Linked DNA regions of Sus scrofa. The protein of the gene in region 1 interacts with the protein of each later gene in a biochemical or structural test. Links are inferred from orthologs where the notes say so. Each region holds a gene or a part of one and is shown in the gene's direction. Other genes may lie near its edges. The genes, in order: UBE2M, NAE1 and CUL1.

Region 1 (3,681 bases):
TTTCTACGGCGCTCACAGCCTGACAGCACCCGTGGTAACATCCGGAAGTCGGTGAATCCTTCGGCGCTTCCTCCCGCCCCGCCCACCGAGGCACGTTGAACTGTGATTGGAGGGGAGGCTAGCCCCGCCCACAGCACGCACACCTCGAAAGGGCGTAGGGCGCCTCTGCCAAACAGGGGACACGCGCTGGGAGGCCGTGCCCCATGTTCCGTCTCCCGTGTAAATTTTCGCAGTGCTTGCTATTCTCTGCCACAGTACATGTTTTATTCGTTAGTTTACCTAAACCGGAGTCTCTGCGAGCGGGTTCTTCGGTTTGCAAGGGGACACGGAAGGTGCTGGACCCTGCACCCTCTAGGCCTTGCTCAGGCTCTGGCCCTGACCCTGCCTCAGCCTATGACCCGCAGGGGCAAGCACCTTGTTTGACCCACCTTCGCTGCCGTCCGCACGACTGCAGATGGGAATGGCTGGACCACAAATGAAGCGGCCCGCATCTGCCCCACTTAAAGACGGCCGCAGCACCGCCCCCTCCCTGGCTCCGCGGGCGTCCCCGGAAGTGACCACGGGACGGTCTGCACGGACGGAAATGCCCGAGCCTAGCCGAAGCAGCCCGATCCCCAGTCCCACCGAGAGGCAAGGCAGAGGGGCGGCGGCGGCGACGGCTGCTGCGCAGGCGCACAGAGCAGTTCGGGCGGGAAGAGCCGAGGCGGGCAGGCGGCGGAAATATCCGAAGCGGTGGGGCGCCCGAGGCCGTTGCAGACCTCCGCGCCGAAGCCGCCGCTGCCGCGGAAGCCGACACTCCTTCCGTACGCGGCCGCCTCCCCCGAGGCCCTCGCCTCCCCCCTTCCACCTCTAGCCGCAGACGCCCCTCGCGCAGGGAGCGAGGGAGCGCGCCAGCGGCGTAGCCAGAGAAGCCGGCGTCCCCGCAGCAGCTGGCCCTCAGGACACCGAAGTGGGCGAAGGGGAGGAGGGAGCGGCGGGTGGGGCGGGGCCGAGCGGGCCCGAGGACAGCCGAGCGGGCCCGAGCGCTGCCGAGCGAGCCCGAGGCGCCGGGCCAGGCCGGAGCCGACTACGGGAGCCGACGCGGGCCGCGCGGTGGGCGCGGAGCGGCGCGGCAGGCCGGGCGGGTGGCGGCAGCAGCCAAGAAGGCCGCGGCGGCGGGTCCGAGTGGCGGAGGCGGCGCGGGCGGCGGCGGGGGGCCGGGTGGCCGGGGTCCCGGGCCCCGCAGCGGCGGCAGCGGCGGCGGCGGCAGGATGATCAAGCTGTTCTCGCTGAAGCAGCAGAAGAAGGAGGAGGAGTCGGCGGGCGGCACCAAGGGCAGCAGCAAGAAGGCGTCGGCGGCGCAGTTGCGGATCCAGAAGGGTAGGAGGTCGGGGGATGAGGGTGGAGGTCGGAGGTCAGAGCCTGGGTGAGGGTGATGTGGTCGCCAGGGGGGTCAGAGATGTCGGAAATGGGGTTGCGGATGTGGGGATTGGAGATCGGGGCCCTGGGGGTGGGGGTTGGGGGTAATACAGTCATTGGAGGGGTCAGAGATGGGAGGCCTAGGATGGGGCGTTTAGGGAATTCCGAATGCCAGGCGTTTGATACTAGGAACCGGGAATCTGAGGGTCACGCAGTGGAGGGGGAGGACCAGGGATTCGAGAGTCTGGGGATCAGACGGGAACCTGGATGACAGGCAGAGGAGATACAGATAGCGGGGGCCGGGATTGAGGAATGGAGTGAGAGACAGTGTTTTATGCTGGAGCCATTAGGAATCAAGAGTCAGACGTGGTGAAGTAGGTTAGAGTCCTGGCATTCCTGGGTCAGGGGGCAGTCACATGGCAGTTTGGCTTTGGGGTGACACGAGGAGGAGAGGGATAGTGTGTGCCAGAGATTAGAGAAAGAGAAAGGTTGAGTTTAAACGATCACGCTGGAGATGCAGGTAATCTTATAGTCAGAGTGGTGTGGGTAGGAGGGCTGGGGACCCATAGATCTGAGGGTCAGGTGGGTACTTGGGTTTGGGATGACAAGCAGAGATGTAGATGAACGGTGGGGCTGGGGATTGGTGGAGGGAGTGATTTAGGGGGTGGGGAGGAATAAGTTCCTTGAGTGGGGACTCCTTTAGAAAGTGGAGGTTATGGCCAGGGATCCTGGGTGTGGGGTAGTCAGGGGCTTGATGGGGCATTTGGGAGTTGGGTTGGAGGGACCCAGGTGCTGGGACCTGGGACTTAGGGCTGTGGATTCAGAAACACTGGAGCTTACCCTAGGCAAGAAGCTCAGGTACAGCCACGATTAAACATGCAAGTTTGCAGTGTGTTCTGTAGATCCACAAGACCCTACCTGGGGATTGGGGAGCAGAAAGAGCAGGGAGGGGGTTGGGGATGTGGCCCACCGCCCAGGAGAGGCCCCTTCGAGCCCTGGCGGAGGCGGTGGGAGCTCTGCTGACGCCAGCCCCTTTTCTGAGCACCTTCCTTTCTATTTCCTTTCTCTGCTGTGTAAACCCAGACATAAACGAGCTGAATCTGCCCAAGACGTGTGACATCAGTTTTTCAGATCCAGACGACCTCCTCAACTTCAAGCTGGTTATCTGTCCTGATGAGGTGAGGGCACCCTTCACTGCGTTTCCTCAGGTGGGAATACCTGGTTCACCTGCCAGGCCCTGCAGGATGGGGTGATGGGGTCCTACTTCCTCTTCTCTTCCCTCACAGGGCTTCTACAAGAGCGGGAAGTTTGTGTTCAGTTTTAAGGTGAGTCCCAGGTGGACAGGGGTGGCTCCTTGGGCTGAGAAGGCAGCAGCGGAGGCTCCAGCCAGACACTGCTGGGGCATTATCCACCTCCCCTCTCTCTTCCTGGAGCCAGGTGGGCCAGGGTTACCCGCATGACCCCCCCAAGGTGAAGTGTGAGACGATGGTTTATCACCCCAACATTGACCTCGAGGGCAACGTCTGCCTCAACATCCTCAGGTGAGGGCACTAGCCCTCCGCTGCTCTCCAGCCCTGCCCGCCAGGCCCCCTTCATGGCCTTGCACTGCACCTGTCTCTGCCCCTTCACTCCCCCTTGTGGTCTCTGTCCCTGTCTCTTCATCTCCTCCTCATGGCTTGACCTTGGCTTTCTCCCTGGCCTGTCCTCTGCACCCTCCCACTAGCTTCTCACATTCACACTGTCCCATGCCCTGGGCTTGACCTGTCCAGTCCCAGCAGGGTCTGTGGCAGCTGCCCACTCACCAGCCCTTGACCATGATGCTGTCTGCCCACAGAGAGGACTGGAAGCCAGTCCTTACGATAAACTCCATAATTTATGGCCTGCAGTATCTCTTCTTGGTGAGTAGAGTTGGGGGCTGGGGCTGGGGAAGGTTGGCCCTCTGCTCCTTGGGCTTGTTGACCCCCCACCGCTGCTGGCCACAGGAGCCCAACCCTGAAGACCCACTGAACAAGGAGGCCGCCGAGGTCCTGCAGAACAACCGGAGGCTGTTTGAGCAGAACGTGCAGCGCTCCATGCGGGGTGGCTATATCGGCTCCACCTACTTCGAGCGCTGCCTGAAATAGGGTTGGCGCCTACCCACCCCTGCCGGGGTCACTAGCCCGGGCATCCCCTGCAGATATTTATTGGGGGCCACAGGTGGGGGGGGCATGGGAGAGCCGGTGGGGGAATCCCATGCCCTGGCCTGCCACCCCTCCCTGCCACCCGCTCCTAGTTTGTTTTTTT
Region 2 (3,650 bases), about 36 Mb from region 1:
ATATATCTCCACTTTACAAATGAAAACAGGCTCAGAGTGGCTCAGAGTGGTACCATCATCTACTTCTTCAGTGCTGAACTGGTTGTAGTGTCAAGGACATGGATTTAAGATGACTTGTGTTCAAAGCCTTCTCTGCTAACCATTAGAACCAAATAGAAGACACTTATTCATATTTCCCTGTCTGTAAAGACATACATAAAAGTTCCGCTCCCGTGGCATATGGAGGATCCCAGGCTAGGGGTCTAATTGGAGCCGTAGCCACCAGCCTACACCAGAGCCACAGCAACTCGAGATCTGCGACCCACACCACAGCTCATGGCAACACTGGATCCTTAGCCCACTGAGCAAGGCCAGGGATTGAACCCACAACCTCATGGTTCCTAGTTGGATTCATTAACCACTGTGCCACGATGGGAACTCCCAAAAGTTCCTGTTCTTTAAGTGATTTGTGATTCAGGATATTTATGTGTCTTGACCATTTACTTCCATAATGTCTTTCCTGTATTCAGGCAGCAATTCCGCATTTCTTCGAGTGGTAAGATGTCGGTCCTTAGCTGAAGAATATGGCTTGGATACAGTTAACAAGGATGAAATTAGTAAGTAATAACCTTTTGATGCTAGGTTAGTAATTAATTTTAAGGGTGTAAATATTTTGTGTATAATTGAATGGTGATAATATAAAGGATAATGTAAATACTTATACTGTGATTTTTATTCTATAAACCAATCCAAGTGGTCATCATTTCAAAATATGAAACTTAATATATACATAAAATCATATTTAGGTCATTAAGTTGTGTGATATGTAGAAGAGCTAAAGTCAGCATGTTACTACTTTAGTAAAGATTTTATGACCATAGCTAATAGTTCAGAAGGCCATTGGGTTTCATCTTAGTAATTTTTCTCCCTTTGTTTTACTGTTATTTATCATTTTCTATTTTACCATCACAACATATTTAAATTTTGTGATAGAATTGCCTTGTATTCTAAAACCTGAGTATATAGTAAATTCAGTCATTTTGTTTTTATGTCATGAATTATCCAGATGCTACTGAGATTCTTTTTTCCTTTCAGTTTCCAGCATGGACAATCCAGATAGTGAGATAGTATTATACTTAATGTTACGGGCTGTTGATAGATTTCATAAACAGCATGGTAGATACCCAGGTAAGAAAAGCAATACACTTATCAAATACAATAAAATCGTAAATAAATACTTGAATGGAATGAAATCTTAAAGTGTTCTTAAGGTGTTTACGGTAGTGATGCTTGAATTCATGCTGTAGTCAATTTACTACCTGGTTCATCTCAGTGAGGCAATACTATTTGTTTCATTTCTTTTTTTTCCACTTTTTTTTTTTTTTTTAAACTGTCTGTGTTTTAAGTGTAGCCAGTTGCAAATATTTTTTAATTCTGAACTGTTACAGAGTTCAGAAATGTTGGTTGAATGTGTGTAGAATAAAGCCTTTTTTCCTGTCAGCTTCTACAGTTTTCTTCCAAGACTCACACTGAGTTTGATTTAGTGGAGTGGAAGAGCATAGGAAGTATGCCAGTGAGTTATGAACTGAGAACTCCAAAGATGTTTCTTTGCTTATTATCTGTTTTTTGTTATCTGTAAATGTGGTAATTGGGGACTTGGCGTATGTTCAAAGATCTTCAGTTGCCTAGAATGTCTTTATTAAGATGATAATTTTTTTTTTTTTTTTCTTTTTTAGGGCACACCCGTGACATATGGAGGTTCCCAGGCTAGAGGTCTAATCAGAGCTGTAGCTGCCAGCCTACGCCAGAGCCACAGCAACGCAAGAGCTGAGCCACATCTGCGACCTACACCACAGCTCACAGCAACACCGGATCCTTAACCCACAGAACAAGGCCAGGATCGAACCCAAAACCTCATGGTTCCTAGTCAGATTCGTTAACCATTGAGCCACGATGGGGACTCCCTAAGGTGATAGTTTTAATTGTTCAGATTGTTGTATATCAGGACATTCTAGCTGTATCATAAAACCTCTTGCCCTGAGTTCCTGTCATGGCTCAGCAGGTTAAGAACCTGACTAGCATCCATGAGGATTCAGGTTCACTCCCTGGTCTCATTCAGTGGGTTAAGGATCTGGTGTTGCTGCAAGCTTCAGTGTAGGCTGCAGATGCAGCTCGGATCTGGTGTTGCTGCGGCTGTGGTATAGACAGGCAGCTCTATCTCCCGATTCGACCCCTAGTCTGGGAACTTCTACATGCTGCAAATGTGGTCCTAAAAAATAAAAAAATTAAAAAATGAAACCTGTTGCCTAAACTGATGTAGTATACCCACTGAGTTATAATTTTTTTTTTTTTTGTCTTTTTACTATTTCTTTGGGCCGCTCCAGGGCATATGGAGGTTCCCGGGCTAGGGATCGAATCGGAGCTGTAGCCACCGGCCTACGCCAGAGCCACAGCAATGCGGGATCCGAGCCGTGTCTGCAACCTATACCACAGCTCACGGCAACGCCGGATCGTTAACCCACTGAGCAAGGGCAGGGACCGAACCCGAAACCTCATGGTTCCTAGTCGGATTCGTTAACCACTGCGCCACGACGGGAACCTCTGAGTTATAATCTTAATGAGCAAGCTTACCAGAAAAAGGAAAAGGAATAAATACCAAATATATGTTGCTTTATTTGTTTTGTTTGGTGAAGGTGTATTTTTGGTTATCTCTTACATAGCAAACCACCCCCAAACTTAGTAGTTTAGAACAATCAATTATTCTGTCTTGTGTGTGGATTGGCTGGGTTCTGTTAGGCAGTTCTCATGGGGGGAAAGGGATCTCATGGAATGACCTGTGGCTGGAGTCATTCTGAAAGCTTGACTGAGATAGACATCCAAGAAAGCATACTCACATGTGTGGCACTTTAGTTGGGATATCTGCAGCTGCTGGCATCTCTTCATATGGTCAGCTGAGGCTTCCTTTCTAGCCTGGCAGTCCTAGATTTCTTACATAGTAGCTGCCTTCCCCAGAGTTAACATTCCAAAGACCCAGGTGGAAGGTACAAGGCTTTTTATGACTTGGCCTTGGAAGTCACACAGCAGCACTTATGCCATGTTCTGTTGGCTTCATAGGTCCACGTTAGACCTTAAGAGTGAAAGGGGATGGCACAGCATTGTAAATCAACTACACATTAATTTAGAAAAACAGTGAAAGGGACTACATGAGGGCATGAAGAGGTGTTCATGGTGGAGCCACCTTGGGAAATTAGCTGTTACATAGAACACAGGCTTTGGAATTAAACCTAGATTCAAATCCACATTCTATCAGTTGAATCTATTGATCTTTATTGAGTCACTATTTCCCTCCAAGTCTCAGTTCTTTCAGTATGATATGATGCTAATAGTATCTGCTCTATTCGATTTGTTTTTGTTTTGTTTTGTTTTTGTCTTTTCTAGGGCCGCACCTGTGGCATATGGAGGGTCCCAGGCTAGGGGTCTAATTGGAGCTGTAGCCGCCAGCCTATGCCACAGCCACAGCAATGCCAGATCCAAGCCACATCTGTGACCTACACCACAGCTCATGGCAATGCCAGATTCTTAACCCACTGAGCGAAGCCAGGGATCGAACCCGAAACCTCATGGTTCCTAGTTGGATTCGTTAACCACTGAGCCACGATGGGAATTCCTGT
Region 3 (3,650 bases), on another chromosome or scaffold:
TGATTTTTCTTTCTGATTCAGTATTGGTGTTTCTGTTACTTTTGTCTACGTAAAGTACATGCAGATAAACTGAAATAGTATTAAAGTTTATAACAAAATAGAACGCACATTTCTGTTGCTCTCCATAGTGTGTGGCCAGTGTGCTTTTGTGATTCATCAGCTTCGGGCCTCCGTGACTTCTCTGCCCTAGTCTAGGATTTGATCTCTTGCCCTGACATGTCCTCGCTTTTCATGTTTCATTTTCAGTGTAACTTTTAAAAAATTCATTTACAAATGATTTAAAATCATGTTTTGTTTATTTTTGTCATGTTTGATTCTAGAAATAGTCATATAGCTAAGCATTATAATAGACTGTGGTTATAGCTTTTTGTTTTTCCTGAAGTAGATAATTGCTTTTTTCTTTTCATTTGCAAACTTTCCTTTGTACCATTTGCCAGTTCTTTTCTTACCTTCTCTCCCGAGACAGTTTCCCACAAGTAATGGCATTAGGTAATCTAGAGATCCAGAGTTTTCTTGGCAGTCTTCTTCCAGAACTTTCTGTCCTCCTCCTCAGCCGGCTGAGTTTTAGCTTTATTGGGGTGTGAATGCGATCTTTTTTCCACTCTAGCGTAACAGGTTTATGCTGATACATGGGAAACATTGATACTAAAATGTCTTGTAAAATTAGGGTCACATTAGTCACTGTTGGACATTGATGATACATGTTGATGTCCTTGACTTTTCTCCAAGTCATGTTTATAACTACTGCACAAGTGTTCACCAGTCAAACCAAGCACGAGGTGCTGGTGTCCCTCCTTCTAAATCAAAAAAAGGACAGACGCCTGGAGGAGCTCAGTTTGTTGGCTTGGAATTATACAAACGACTTAAAGAATTTTTGAAGAATTACTTGACAAATCTTCTTAAGGTAAGAAGTTTTGCATATATACTGAGCATTTATAATAGAATGTTTTTAAAAAATGAAATAGTGATTCTAAGTTAAATATAGTCTTTCACTGTCATTTGGCATTGACTGTCATTGGCATTTTGGCATTGACAAGTGCCTGAAGATCTTTGCTGTTGCTTAGTCAATTACTTATTATGAAGATGAAATCTTCGTAAGCCATATTCTGTTCTTTAATTTGTTAAATTGGAAGTTTTTGATGGCCCTATGCCATATAGTATTGTCCTTAAATTACTAACCACTTGGTATTTGGCTGTTAGATATTGGTGAACTTTTTAAAGCATGTAATTATGAATTCAAATTACCTATGTTGTAATTTGAAGCCAGCGTGCTATTCTGCATCAAGACATGTAAATGACTGCAAAGATTCAGATTTGGGTAATCACATTTCTGGTGTGGTTTTGTCTTTACACATGGTCATGTGGTATGGTCAGAACTGCAGTGTGATTGTGCCTTTGGCTAGGATGGGCCACTGCTCACTCCTTCCTTTTGCTCGGGCAGTGATAGAGTTCTTCCCCTTCATCTTCCGCCTTTTTCTTCCTCAGACTCCATCCTCTGTAGCAAAGGCAATGTGGTACCTTCCATCTAAACACAGGAGGGGCAGGTGGCTCTTCCTGGTGCTATACACACTGTGGAGCGTGTGAAGACATCTGTGCACTCTGCCCTGGGAAGTCTGCACTCTCTGTGTATATATTTTAAAGATTATTGATTTATATAGATAACAGGCAGCTTCAGCATGCTCCAAAATTGTTTTTCTTAATATTTGCAAGGTACCTAGAAACCTAACATCATCCTGACAGACAATAGTTGACTGACTACAAATTAGGAACAAGAGTATTTTCACGTTCTCTAAACAGTGTGCTTGTAATGCCTTGCTGAGGCCACTGTGTCCTTCTTGCTTTGAGTCACAGCACTTTGTTAAGTGGACACTGGAATCAATTATCTCTAGGGTTTTTTTGTTTTTTGGTCTTTTTTTAGGGCTACACCCGCAGCATATGGAAGTTCCCAGGCTAGGGGTTAAATTGGAGCTACAGCTGCCAGCCTACCCCACAGCCACAGCAAAGCCAGATCCTTAATCCACTGAGCGAGGCCAGGGATTGAACCTGTTTCCTCATGGATATTAGTCAGATTTGTTTCTGCTGAGCCACGACAGGAACTCCAGTTATCTTTAGTATTAGACAGGAGGAACTGAGGGATATACCATGTTGGGTACTGATAGCCATGCTATCAGTGATACTATTTTTGTATTGTCTTTTTTTTTGTTGTTGCTATTTCTTGGGCCGCTCTCACGGCATATGGAGGTTCCCAGGCTAGGGGTTGAATCGGAGCTGTAGCCACCAGCCTACGCCAGAGCCACAGCAACTCGGGATCCGAGCCGCGTCTGCAACCTACACCACAGCTCACGGCAACACCGGATCGTTGTTAACCCACTGAGCAAGGGCAGGGACCGTGGTTCCTAGTCGGATTCGTTAACCACTGCGCCACAACGGAAACTCCCTATTTTTGTATTTAAAAAGATCGTATACTATAATCCAGAAGAGCTTAGCTTTACATGTGGGGGTTCATTTCTTATTTAAATTTAAATGAACGAAAATTTGGTTGTATGAAGTATGGTCAGGTTTTCATGGAGCTCACTGGATCGCTTGTACACTGTGTGTTTATGGACCTTCGGTTCTGTGGAGCTTTTTGTTCTGCTAGTTGAAGGCCCTGAGGCTGAGGGAAGTTGGGGGCTGCCCCAGGCCCTTAGTTCACTGGAGGAAGCTTCTCCCTCCCAGGTTCCCCTGGAGTGTTCTGCTCCAGCACATTTTACTGACAGTGCAATTTAATGCTCCCTTTTTGAACGGTAAGGCTTCACTTTGTAGATGTCATTAATTCCTGAGAAGAAGCTTCAGGTTCATTTTCTTCAAGTAAAAAATTGCTGTTTAGGTTGTAGAAATTCAGTGAAAATAATTTTGGTAAATGAATGTTTTTCTTGTGAGGACTTGTTAAAGGAGAAACATTTGTACCATTATACTGTATATTGTTATTTTTACAAAAATGCAAGAGATTACAATGAAAAGCTCTAGATTTTTAGAATTTTTAAGTAAATTTAATGAAGGCAGAAATGCATTGAAAGATTGAATAGTTTTCGCCCTAAGATCTCAGTTGTTTATTGGAGATTTAAATTTTTTAATAGAAAAAATAAAAATCAGGGTGGTTGAGGTAATTTCCTTGTTAATATAAAGGAATTACCCTCACCTTCTAAAGGGTCAGTCTTTTTTTTTTTTAATCTATATATTTAATACCATGAAAAATTCCAGTTTGAGATAAAAGAATTTTTGTTAAACTTCTCTTTAGTCTAATTCTCATGAACTACATTCTTTGGAGAATTTATAGAAATGAGCCCGTACAGAATCATTTAAAGAAGTCATCTAAAACCATACCCTTCGGTGTATGTTACTGCAGTGGATGTTTCATTGAATGTTTAGCTTTAATTTATCACATGACAAGCTCTTCATCTTAAAGCTGTAGTTCTCTTGCTTTTAGGACGGAGAAGATCTGATGGATGAGAGTGTACTGAAGTTCTACACTCAGCAGTGGGAAGATTACCGATTTTCAAGCAAAGTGCTGAATGGGATTTGTGCCTACCTCAATAGACATTGGGTTCGCCGCGAATGCGACGAAGGACGGAAAGGAATCTATGAAATCTATTCTGTAAGGTTTTCTACAC

Evidence for each region.
Region 2: of the proteins of UBE2M (region 1) and NAE1, one has a biochemical effect on the other in vitro, tested with the Homo sapiens proteins (4 studies listed by BioGRID, with this or other methods). The link is inferred for Sus scrofa from reciprocal best matches to the Homo sapiens genes UBE2M and NAE1.
Region 3: of the proteins of UBE2M (region 1) and CUL1, one has a biochemical effect on the other in vitro, tested with the Homo sapiens proteins (7 studies listed by BioGRID). The link is inferred for Sus scrofa from reciprocal best matches to the Homo sapiens genes UBE2M and CUL1.

Annotation. Positions count from the first base shown.
Region 1 is NC_010448.4:63,105,749-63,109,429, reverse strand, and holds the start of UBE2M (NEDD8-conjugating enzyme Ubc12), read left to right. Parts: upstream 1-814; 5' UTR 815-1,250; coding exon 1,251-1,359; intron 1,360-2,481; coding exon 2,482-2,576; intron 2,577-2,684; coding exon 2,685-2,723; intron 2,724-2,835; coding exon 2,836-2,939; intron 2,940-3,232; coding exon 3,233-3,296; intron 3,297-3,380; coding exon 3,381-3,521; 3' UTR 3,522-3,681.
Region 2 is NC_010448.4:27,516,095-27,519,744, reverse strand, and holds part of NAE1 (NEDD8-activating enzyme E1 regulatory subunit), read left to right. Parts: intron 1-509; coding exon 510-596; intron 597-1,074; coding exon 1,075-1,167; intron 1,168-3,650. UniProt on the Homo sapiens protein: Regulatory subunit of the dimeric UBA3-NAE1 E1 enzyme. E1 activates NEDD8 by first adenylating its C-terminal glycine residue with ATP, thereafter linking this residue to the side chain of the catalytic cysteine, yielding a NEDD8-UBA3 thioester and free AMP.
Region 3 is NC_010451.4:109,503,495-109,507,144, reverse strand, and holds part of CUL1 (cullin-1), read left to right. Parts: intron 1-729; coding exon 730-904; intron 905-3,466; coding exon 3,467-3,634; intron 3,635-3,650. UniProt on the Homo sapiens protein: Core component of multiple cullin-RING-based SCF (SKP1-CUL1-F-box protein) E3 ubiquitin-protein ligase complexes, which mediate the ubiquitination of proteins involved in cell cycle progression, signal transduction and transcription.